Kluyveromyces lactis: one gene and its partners. The protein of the gene in region 1 interacts with the protein of each later gene in a biochemical or structural test. Links are inferred from orthologs where the notes say so. Each region holds a gene or a part of one and is shown on either strand. Other genes may lie near its edges.

The links.
Region 2: the proteins of BEM1 (region 1) and KLLA0_E20879g form a complex in vitro, tested with the Saccharomyces cerevisiae proteins (2 studies listed by BioGRID, with this or other methods). The link is inferred for Kluyveromyces lactis from reciprocal best matches to the Saccharomyces cerevisiae genes BEM1 and BOI2.
Region 3: the proteins of BEM1 (region 1) and RSR1 form a complex in vitro, tested with the Saccharomyces cerevisiae proteins (2 studies listed by BioGRID). The link is inferred for Kluyveromyces lactis from reciprocal best matches to the Saccharomyces cerevisiae genes BEM1 and RSR1.

What each region holds. Positions count from the first base shown.
Region 1 is NC_006041.1:2,076,510-2,080,256, reverse strand, and holds BEM1 (phosphatidylinositol-3-phosphate-binding protein BEM1), read left to right. Parts: upstream 1-1,269; coding exon 1,270-1,278; intron 1,279-1,496; coding exon 1,497-3,215; downstream 3,216-3,747. Other genes in the region: putative ubiquitin-specific protease UBP16, read left to right, coding at 1-852; KLLA0_E23343g (uncharacterized protein), read right to left, coding at 3,495-3,747.
Region 2 is NC_006041.1:1,863,077-1,867,375, reverse strand, and holds the start of KLLA0_E20879g (uncharacterized protein), read left to right. Parts: upstream 1-1,434; coding exon 1,435-4,299. Other genes in the region: KLLA0_E20901g (uncharacterized protein), read left to right, coding at 1-969. UniProt on the Saccharomyces cerevisiae protein: Protein involved in bud formation. Functions redundantly with BOI1 to promote the fusion of secretory vesicles with the plasma membrane at sites of polarized growth. Acts as an abscission inhibitor during cytokinesis in response to chromatin bridges.
Region 3 is NC_006039.1:1,028,527-1,031,205, reverse strand, and holds RSR1 (Ras family GTPase RSR1), read left to right. Parts: upstream 1-1,334; coding exon 1,335-2,114; downstream 2,115-2,679. Other genes in the region: KLLA0_C12023g (uncharacterized protein), read right to left, coding at 1-529; RRP1 (Rrp1p), read left to right, coding at 2,502-2,679. UniProt on the Saccharomyces cerevisiae protein: Ras-related protein which binds GDP/GTP and possesses intrinsic GTPase activity. Involved in development of cell polarity during the cell division cycle, and essential for bud emergence.

The DNA.
Region 1 (3,747 bases):
TTAAGGTCGATGTTGAGGCATCAAGGTTCTCATTCTACCGGTCACTATGAATGTTTCAGACACAAACCAGAGTTTATGAAAGACATTGATACACATCAAGTCATTAGCAAGACACCAATGGTGGACTTCGGTATTGCGTCGAATAAACTTGCAGCTGAAATCTGGAATCAGGCCGTTCTGAACTCCTCTAACAAATCCGATTCTTGTTCAATCGGCTCGGAAGATTCAATCTCCTCTAACGTGCCATTCAGATCTGTTTTCCTGGACTCACCAAACTCTGCGATTGTTACTGATGATGATTACGTTATTGGAAGCTCAGAGTTCTCTAACGACGCAGATAATAAGGGCCAAAACAACAACAGTGGTTCTGGAGTTTCAAGGACGCCATCCACTTTGAAAAGAGTCACTGGTTTCCTTTCGAGAAAGAGTTCTGTCTCGGCAGCACCGGATAATAACAATACTAGCAATATACTACCTGAAATTAGCAGTTCACCCATGGCTTCATCATCTTCAGAACATAGAAACCGCGCAAGATTTAACAGTGTCTCTTCTATGACGACTGACCGCAACGCTTCGATATTATCTAGTAATGCTAGTATCGACTCTTACAGTACAGATCAAGTTACTAATACAAGTGCTACCGAAGTGGAAACTGAAACAGATTATGACGGTATTTCAATGAATGTCAACAAGAAGACAAAGAAAAGAAGATTAAAGAAATTGAAAAGTGTGGTGAAATACCCATGGTGGAGAATATCTGATACTAAAGTTAAAGAATATAAAACTTCAGATATTTTATCAGAAACTAAATTCGTTTATATGTTGTACTATGAGAGGGTACCAGTAGTCTAACCTGGTCAGTAAGCAAATACTGGAACCAACATAACAACAACCAAAAGAATAAGAAAAAATAGAAACATAGACATATTTTACTAAATTGCACAAGCGGCACCTCACCGCTCCGAATCATTCATCCTTTGTCAATTAACTCATCGATTTATGATGACCACAGGCCATGTATTACTCGATTAATTAGTTTTAGCACTTTTACGTTAACCTTATATACATATACTGTACGATCTTTAAATTTCAGATCATGTGACCTCTAAAACCCTTCTAGAATGAAATTCTTCCTTTCCTTCTGCGGGTTGATGAAGCGAGATGAAAAAGGATTGACATGAATAAAGAGACGAGTTTCAGGAATTCATAATAACAGAGTTGATAGACGAAAGCTGCAACACAAAGGCAAAGGCAGTCAATAGTGGGAAAATGTTGAAGGTATGTAATAATGCGCGTGGTATTGTCTTATGTTTGGCAATTTTGACGTAGTAGCGGAGGATTTCTGACTTTGTTAGAGGCTGGAAAATTTTTCTTTACTGAAAGAAGGTAACCACATGAATATTGCAACGTGAAGGCAAAATACTAACATATACTATGATCATTGGTTGGTGATTAAATTGAACCAATTATCTAATTTCTGGAAATTTTTGGAATAGAATTTCAAATTGAAGAAAGACAGTGTGAAACAGCGCATAACTTCTGCGGATATTTCCGGACCTACTCAAAGTCCAGGGAGCTCAGTGCAAAACGTAAAGACCATTCCTATCAGGCAATTATCTACATCATCACAGCTATCTTCGGGGTTTACAAGTGGAAAATCAAAAGATATCTCGTCTCCAGAAAAAGTAATCAAAGCGTTATACAATTACCAGGCACAATCAGCCGGTGAATTATCATTCAATAAGGGAGACTTTTTCCATGTTCAGCAAGAGGAGAACGATTGGTATGAGGCCTCCAATCCGGCGGACGGCAAGAGAGGCATGGTTCCTAAGAATTATTTCGAGATTTTTGGCAGAACAAGGCCAAATTCGCATGCATCACCGGTGAAAAGTATAAATAGAAATGGATCTGTCGGTAGTAATCAGTTATTACAGCATCATCAGCAGCAACAGCAGCAACAGCAGCAACAACAACCTTCCAATATGGGAACTCTTTATGCAATTGTACTGTATGATTTTCAAGCAGAAAAGGCAGATGAGTTAACAGCCTATGCCGGAGAAAACTTGTTCATTTGTGCTCATCACGATTTTGAATGGTTTATCGCTAAGCCCATTGGCAGGTTGGGTGGTCCCGGTCTAGTTCCTGTTGGTTTTGTGACTATTATAGATATAGCTACTGGTTATGCCACGGGAAATGATGTAAAAAGCGATATCGAATCAGTGAATCTACCCTCGGTCCAAGAATGGAAGATCAATATCGCCCGTTACAAGGCTAGCAATATCACACTAGGTTCAGTGGAACAGCAGGGTCAGTCGTACGTGCAACACCGATCACAATCCAGGCAAAATTCACAAAACCGTCAACCACACCCCAGCACGCAGCACTCGAGCGCTGCCAATACAACCTATCCTGCTGATGCCGTTTTCCTTACCTACGCTGCAGTCGAGACATTTTTCCTACAGGACGATAAGTATTGGTTCCAAGTCTCGTGTCAGTTATCCAACAACACCACGCGTATTTTGAAGCGTTATTATGAAGATTTCTATGATTTACAAGTAAAGCTACTCGATATCTTCCCTGCAGAAGGGGGTAAACTAAGAGACACTAATGGTCAGTGGACGAAACGTATAATGCCATATATACCGGGTCCAGTTCCGTATGTGACAGATACCATTTCAAAAAAGAGAAAAGATGACCTAAATATATACGTGAAGGATTTGATTTCCCTACCGCCGCATATATCACAATCACATCTGGTCAAGGGTTTGTTTGCCGTTAAAAATAATGGTTTTGACCGTGAGATTAGTAATGATGAAACTGTGGAGCTTGACGTAAAAGGTAGGGCTGATGATTCAACTCTGACTAACCAAGAACTACAACTTCCAGAGGCAATGAAGAGACTGTCTCTGATTAATAGCGCTTCCAATGCCAGTGCTAAAGTCAAATCAAGGCCGCCTAGTGGTTTCGCTCCGAGAATAACTGATGAAAAGCCTGTCAAGATCAAATTTTATTACAAAGATGACATATTCGCCTTGATGCTGCATCCTACCATTACTTTTGAAGAATTGTGCAGTAAAATAGCACCTAGAATTGACGCAGATTCTTTTAAGTTGTACATCAAAAACGGAGATGATATTGGCACTCAAGTCACTACTGATGCAGAAGTACCGGTTCTAATTCAAGAGAAACGCAAGATCTTTGTCGATGACAGCTAAGTTATTTGTTGCAAAATTTTATCGTCATAATAAATAATACAAAAAGAACCCCAAGGTGGTCAAAATTCAATTTCTATCCACTGATGGCTTTCATGCTTATCATAATGATGTACTGTACATCGCATTGTAATACTTCAACATAATTTTGACATTAACACTCTTATATTCTTTCACATTAATTCAGTTCAACAAGTAAAAATCAGTTGTTTACATACTCTCTCTATAGGTGTTAATACTTCTATCAAAATGATAATAATACTTCACAAACATGTCTAAGGACTATTCATCCAGCTCTATGTCCATGTCTGCATCCGCGTACGGATCTGTATCGAGATCCATGTCAATGTCCATGTCCGCATTGTGATCAAACTCATCATTTCTATGCATGAGATTCGGTGCCAGATCAACTCTGGAATCTGCTGCAGTCTCAACATTCATATCTACTTCATCTAATTTTGGACTATGCTGTTGGTACCATTTTACCCACAAGCTTGCTACCACAGATCGCCAGTCATACCATTTTATTACCTGC
Region 2 (4,299 bases), about 210 kb from region 1:
GAATCTAAGTTATCTGTTGCCCACAGGTGTGTCAACTCTTTAAAGAAGTTACGATCCAGTTTCGAAAGTGAATTACCAGTAGTGGTATCGTTGCATCTTTCATTAGATAAATATACGTGGGACCTATGGATATATCACCATGGCAGTGATTTTCCTGTGGAGAACGTTCCTTTGAAGATTAATGTGATCAAGACTTTGAGCCAAACGCTTGATGATTATTCACGTCGAAGTGACTCTCAATTCGTGGAAGTTATTGCACGTACACTTCAGTATCTAAACAAGTTGGTACAGGCGTCATTACTGAGTGGTGTTCAGCCGCAAATGATGACACCCAGTCTTTCTATGGGCCCACCGCTGAGGAAACCCGGATATCAGGATAGAGAGACTGTTCATCGCTCTATATTGAACTCCAAACGCAGACCAAGTGCTAACGGAAGCGATTCAGCATCTATAATTAGTGCGAAAAGTTCGGGAAACAAGAGTATAGCTTCGACGAAGTCAAAGAGAAGCATTTTCCAAAAAATGAAAGGTATGTCACGTTGGTCTCAACACATTTCAAGCGAAAACAATCCAGACCATAAAGGCAGAGCATCAAGTTCAATTAGCCCCTTTAACCGACAATCGTCATCAATCCCAAATATGAATGGTTCTGTTAATTCCAGCTCATCTCGAGGTACCAATACCCCATCTAATAGAAAGAGTTCTTTTTCTACTAATTCATCTGATGCGACCTTTTTGAACAATAACAAGACACACTTCAGAAAGCAAGACTTATCAGGAATGCCCGAATACATCTCGTGGGTACAAAAACTTACATTTCAGGTCCTACAGCTGCCCCAAACCTCACAGAATGATATCATTTTCTCTTTCATCAACAAATGCATAATCCCATTCATATTAAATGACGGACATTTACTTCAAATACAAATTATACAGAAAAACGTTATCTCAGCTTTCCTCAGCGCTTGATATGGCGGTCATATAGTTGGACAATAAATGATAGTACTATGTATTTTAGACCCGTAATTAAGGATGAATCACCAACGGTAACATGAAGAACCAGTCGTTAGGTATCGGTCGCAAGTCCGGGTAACGAGCATTCGCTATTTGGGAACAGAATGGAAATTTGGAAGCAAGACGTGGACTTTTAAAGAAACAAACATTAGAAAGTAAGTTGCACTTCGTAAAAAACCAAAACATAAGAACCATCAAGGGTCGTAGTATAGTCTGGTCACCGAAAGTGCTCAAAATTGTGGTAAGAGGTTTGCTAACGTGGACGAATTATATATTGGTGCAAATAGAGCAGTTTCGTTTTGTTTTTTTTCCATTTTCCTCATAGTTTATACGTTTCATCTCAACAATTCGCTGGACTTCATTTAGAGCATCTCAGCCGTATCATACCGTTCGAGTTCCAGAAATACCTACAAAATCAGTATGGCATCTAATAAAGTACCTAAGCTAACCCATATAGATACCACTAATTTACGGAGTACCAGTGGAGGCGTGCCATCTGTTGGAGAAACACCCTTAGGTGCAGGGTTTCAGCCGCAGAAAACATTCCCGTTGTTTATTTGTATCACCGAGTACAGTAAGCGTATGGATGACGAACTAGATATGAGGCCTGGAGACAAGATTCAAGTGGTCACCGATGATGGGTCGTATAACGATGGTTGGTATTTTGGTAAGAATCTAAGAACACAAGAAGAAGGCCTGTATCCCAAAGTTTTCACTCAAGTCATTGCTATGGAACGCAAACCAGCCCTGATGAGGGCAAAAAGCTCCAAGAGAATCGCAAGTCCGTTTGCCTCTGGAAGCAATACAAATCTTTCATACCCGTCCCAGGATGGGTCCACCAGTGAGCTACCTACCCCTCAGCCGTTAGAAACTGCACAACCCGCAACTTATAGGAAATTTGATAATATCAAAGCGCCCAACTCAGACATGATAAAAGTTCCTGTGGATAGGAACATATCAATGAAAAGCACAATGAGTGATATAGATAAGGCACTTGAAGAGTTAAGGGGTGACTCTTTCCCCTCTGGAACTGATTCCATCGATTATGATCAAAGACCTGGGTTGAAAAGACTTGTTTCAGGTTCATCATTAGATTTCACCAAAAGTAATAGCCTGGCTTCTACTGGAACCAACGAATTACGCCCAGAAAATGTGAAGAATTGGGTTCCGGAACAGGTTACAGCTTACCTCATCTCATTGGGATTCGATGTGGAATCAGCATCGAGGTTCCAAAAGCATAAAATTTCAGGTACAATTCTTTTGGAACTAGAATTAGCGCATTTGAAGGAATTGGAGATAAACTCGTTTGGAACTCGTTTTGAGATCTTTAAAGAAATTGAGGCTTTGAAGGAAATATCGACCCAGAATGGCACTTCTGCCAATAACAGGAATAGTTTGATGCCCGCTGCATCATTCAAACAAAATGCTGGGATAACGATAACCTCACCTTCTAACCATGATATTCCAACGTATCGAGGCCACCTAAGGAAAACATCACAATCTATGGAGGAACTAAATTCAAATTCGACTCCAACTCCAAAGAACTTCGTAACCCCATCGTCTGGAACACACACCAAAAGCTCTCAGAAACCTAGACCAGCATCCTTGCTATTTACTAATGAAACTACTAAAGCTCCGGATATTTCAGAAGATGTGTTCGCGTCGCCTAGACGTGCCCCAAAGCCTCCTTCATACCCATCACCAGTCCAGCCTCCAAAATCACCTATGGTTAGTGCTTCTAGTTCTGGCTCTGGCGGTAGGTTCTTGTCACCTCAACCTAACGCAATGTCCAGTGCTCAAACTTCCAAATACGCACATCCCACGATATATGAACAAGTGGCAGATGGTAAAGCAAAGGCAAAGGAGGAAAAATCGAGGGAGGATGAGATTCACGACCAGTTCGAATTTCCTCCTAAAAGGAAGCAGGGTCCAACTTCTAGTACCCCTAGCCTTCCAAACCCATATTTCAAGGAAACACAATCTATCGAACGAAACCCAAGTCCAACTGAGCAAGTTTCAGAGAATCGCGGTAGTGTAGTCTACTCCGGACATGTCAAAACCAAATCAGGCGGATCCTTCGTCGAACTGTTTAACAGGATATCAATGCTGTCGGAAAATACAGAAAATAAACAGGCCGATCGTGAATCTGATGCAGAAACTGGTGTTAATATGGAAAGACCTTCTTCTAGTGTATACGGGCATTCCAGAGCTACCTCATACTCTACCAATCATGGTAGAAAACCTTCCCAAGCCAACTCAGAAAGAAGGCATAGAAGGAATTCTTCTCTGCTGTCATTTTTCAAAGAGAAGGATGAGCATGCCGAGACAGATACTGCACATACTAAAACATCAAGAAGGACGTCGGTTTCTCATAGCAGGAAGAATTCATTTGTTAGTCCCTTCAACACTATTGATAACGGTACGCCTAGTCAAAGACATTCGATGATGCTAAGTACATCTCCTATTAAAGACCTTCCAAACCCCCAAACTCGAAAAGAAGCTAAGAGACGCTCTGTTAGCGCTAAAGAACCTGCCTCGGATGTATTTTATGACGCGAAAGATACTTTATACGAACCGGATGTTAATCAAAATAGGTCTGTGAGTGAATCAACTAAACCGAGAACAGCTCGCGGTACGAGCTCGAAAAATGTCGGAAAACAAAGAACTACCGCATTCACGGAAGGTATCCGTAGTATTACTATATCCGAAGCTATGCGTGAAGCAGATTGTTCAGGTTGGATGAGTAAGAAGGGTACTGGTGCTATGGGTGTTTGGAAAAATAGATTCTTTACGTTGCATGGTACCAGATTGTCGTACTTTGCCAATACAACCGAAAATAGAGAACGTGGATTGATTGATATAACCGCTCATAGAGTGTTGCCAGCAAAAGAAGATGACAAATTTGTTTCTCTCTATGCTGCTAGCACTGGTAAAGGGCGTTATTGCTTTAAATTGGTTCCTCCTCAACCTGGCTCCAAGAAAGGTCTAACGTTTACTCAGCCTCGTGTACATTACTTCGCAGTAGACACCAAAGAGGAGATGAGAGCATGGATAGCAGCTCTTATCAAAGCTACCATTGACATTGACACTTCAGTTCCTATTATCAGTTCATGTGCGACGCCTACCGTTTCATTAACAAAAGCTCAGGAAATGCTGTCCCAAGCGCGTGAAGAAACTAGACTGAGAGAGCAGCAAAGGTCACTGAATGAACATGACGAAGACTTATGGGATCAACAAAGAGCTGAGCAAACTCAAAGTTCTGAAGATTTTGCTAATATTTCCTCG
Region 3 (2,679 bases), on another chromosome or scaffold:
CTTGCTGGAATACAATTTCACCATTTCCATTCGTATACAAACTGGATGAAATGCAGTCCCATTTCTTAGGTTTAATCTTCCTATCGGTGATCTTTTGATCTAGATCAATAACTACCTGTTGCCCCACTAACTGTGCCGATTGTTCCAGGGATTCAGCCACAGGATATGCAAGTTTCACAGACGTTATTCCAGATCCGGCATCTGTATGTTCACCGCACAATATCATTGCTTCGCTGGGTTCTCCTCTGAGTTTACATTTTTTTATATTATCTACCACTATGCATAACTTATCCTGTAACTGATCTCTCGGAATGTATTGTCTGATCCCACTACAGATCTGTTTCACAGATCCATTCCCCAATTCCACTTGAGAAACGTACATTTTCTCCGAATTGGGATGCAATGCTACTTGTTGGAATTTCCCAACCTTCAAGTTCAATAGCTCGAAAGGAAACCGTTTTGCCTCATTGCAAATCCTGCTAACATGGAAATCCCGTACCAATCGCTTCACAACTCCTTGTAGAAACATTATATCCCTTTTGAGTTGTTATCACTGGAATGGATCAACCAAGTAGCAGATCCATAAAAGAATACCGAGTTATTTACTGCTGACAGAAATCATGGGTAAGATTTTTATCATCTCTCAGACTTCTACCGTATCGAGTTGCGAGATCCGAGTTTGGCAGAGATGAGCTAACAGAAGGAAAAAGGAAAAAAACATGAAACTTTCGAAAATCAGAGATGAAAAAAAAAGATGCGAAAACAATTTGGTTGTTGCATTTAGCGGGTATTAAATGTAAATAACGAATTAACCAACCGTAGACACTTTGGGTAGTCTTCAGGAGGGTACAATTCATCATTCATATAGACGATAATCTCAATTAAGGGAAATTGAACCTAACTCTATCCTGTAGCTTCTTTTGTATCTGATCTGATTGAAACTGTGAGTTTTCTTTTATTTTTGGTGTTTATTTAGCTGTTCCTGTTGGTAAAGAGGAAGAAGAAAAAGAGCGTTGCGAATAAACGTACGTGCATTCTGATATTACTCCCTTGTTCACTGATCGGTATAAGGACGAGTATTCAATTTTATCTTGAATATAACAAGGAAAATAGTGACAGGCACCAGTATATCAAGCTGATCTCATAGTTGATTTAGTTCGCTATAAGTTTGCATTCTGAAATATACCAGTAACACGCGTTAAAAGCATACATAATCGAAGAAATACTCTTTTTGACGGCGATTTACACCTCAAAGAATTTCTACTGGAAAGTATCAGGGTACCTAATTCACATCTTCAGGTTCTTAAACCGAAGAAAAACGATAGATAATAAAGATGAGAGATTATAAATTGGTTGTTCTTGGAGCCGGCGGTGTCGGTAAGTCATGTTTGACAGTTCAGTTTGTGCAAGGGGTTTACTTAGATTCCTATGACCCGACCATAGAAGATTCGTATCGCAAGACCATGGAGATTGATAATAAGGTTTTTGATTTGGAAATCTTGGACACTGCAGGAGTGGCACAATTCACAGCTATGAGAGAATTGTATATCAAATCTGGAATGGGGTTCTTGTTGGTGTATTCTGTCAGTGATCGTCAGTCATTAAATGAGCTGCTCGAGTTACGAGAACAAGTATTGCGGATTAAAGATTCCGATCGTGTCCCCATTGTGCTCGTTGGTAATAAGGCAGACTTACAAGATGAACGTGTAATTTCAGTAGAAGAGGGAATCGAAGTCAGTAGTAAATGGGGCAAAGTACCATTTTACGAAGCTAGTGCACTACTCAGAAGTAATGTCGATGAAGTATTTATTGATCTTGTAAGACAAATTATCAGAAACGAGTTAGAATCTGCATCTAACATCAATAACAGTCAATCTAGAAAATTTAGCCAAGCTCGTACGATGGGAAGTAGTTCAATGACAGAACTGGGAAACGACGATTCAAACCCTTCTCAAGAACGAAATAATGACATTGCGGGTCCAAGTCAAGTTCAACGATTAGTTTCAAGAGTCCAAACCAAGAAGGATATTAGCTCAAAACCAGCAGCTGATTCAAATAAACATGCTAAGAAGAAACGGAAAAAGAGTAAGAAACGGTCTTGTGTAATATTATAACGTTGTGTTTTTCGTTCTGTAATTTTCGTTCATAATAGTTTGTTAAAATAATACTAAAATAAAAACTTCATAAAAACAACTACCGATTGATCAGATATGGGAGAATCTAATTTCAACCATGAAACTTATATACCTATCAGGATATACCTACCAGGATATACCCAAACAGTTAACCCACGATTCAATTGAGTACAACCATCTCAATATTCTGCATAACATCTCGAGGAAAAATTCTCAAAAAAAAGAAGAGCTGCACAGATTGAAAAATAAAAATTAAAGTTGACTGAGATGAGATGCGATGAGATGAGATGAGATGTGTCGCTGTTCATGCAATACCGAAGAGAGAAACAAGTACTGCACCCATCCATATAGCAACATCTCAAACAAATGGAAAACACATTAGTAAAGCAGTTAGCTGGTCATAGGAAGGAGACCCGTGAACAGGCCTTCGAGTCTCTTCGCAAATATTTGACAACAAGAAATTTCCAAAACGCTAAACAATCCCAATTTGATAAGTTATGGAAAGGTCTATACTACTCTATGTGGCACTGTGATAAGCCTATTC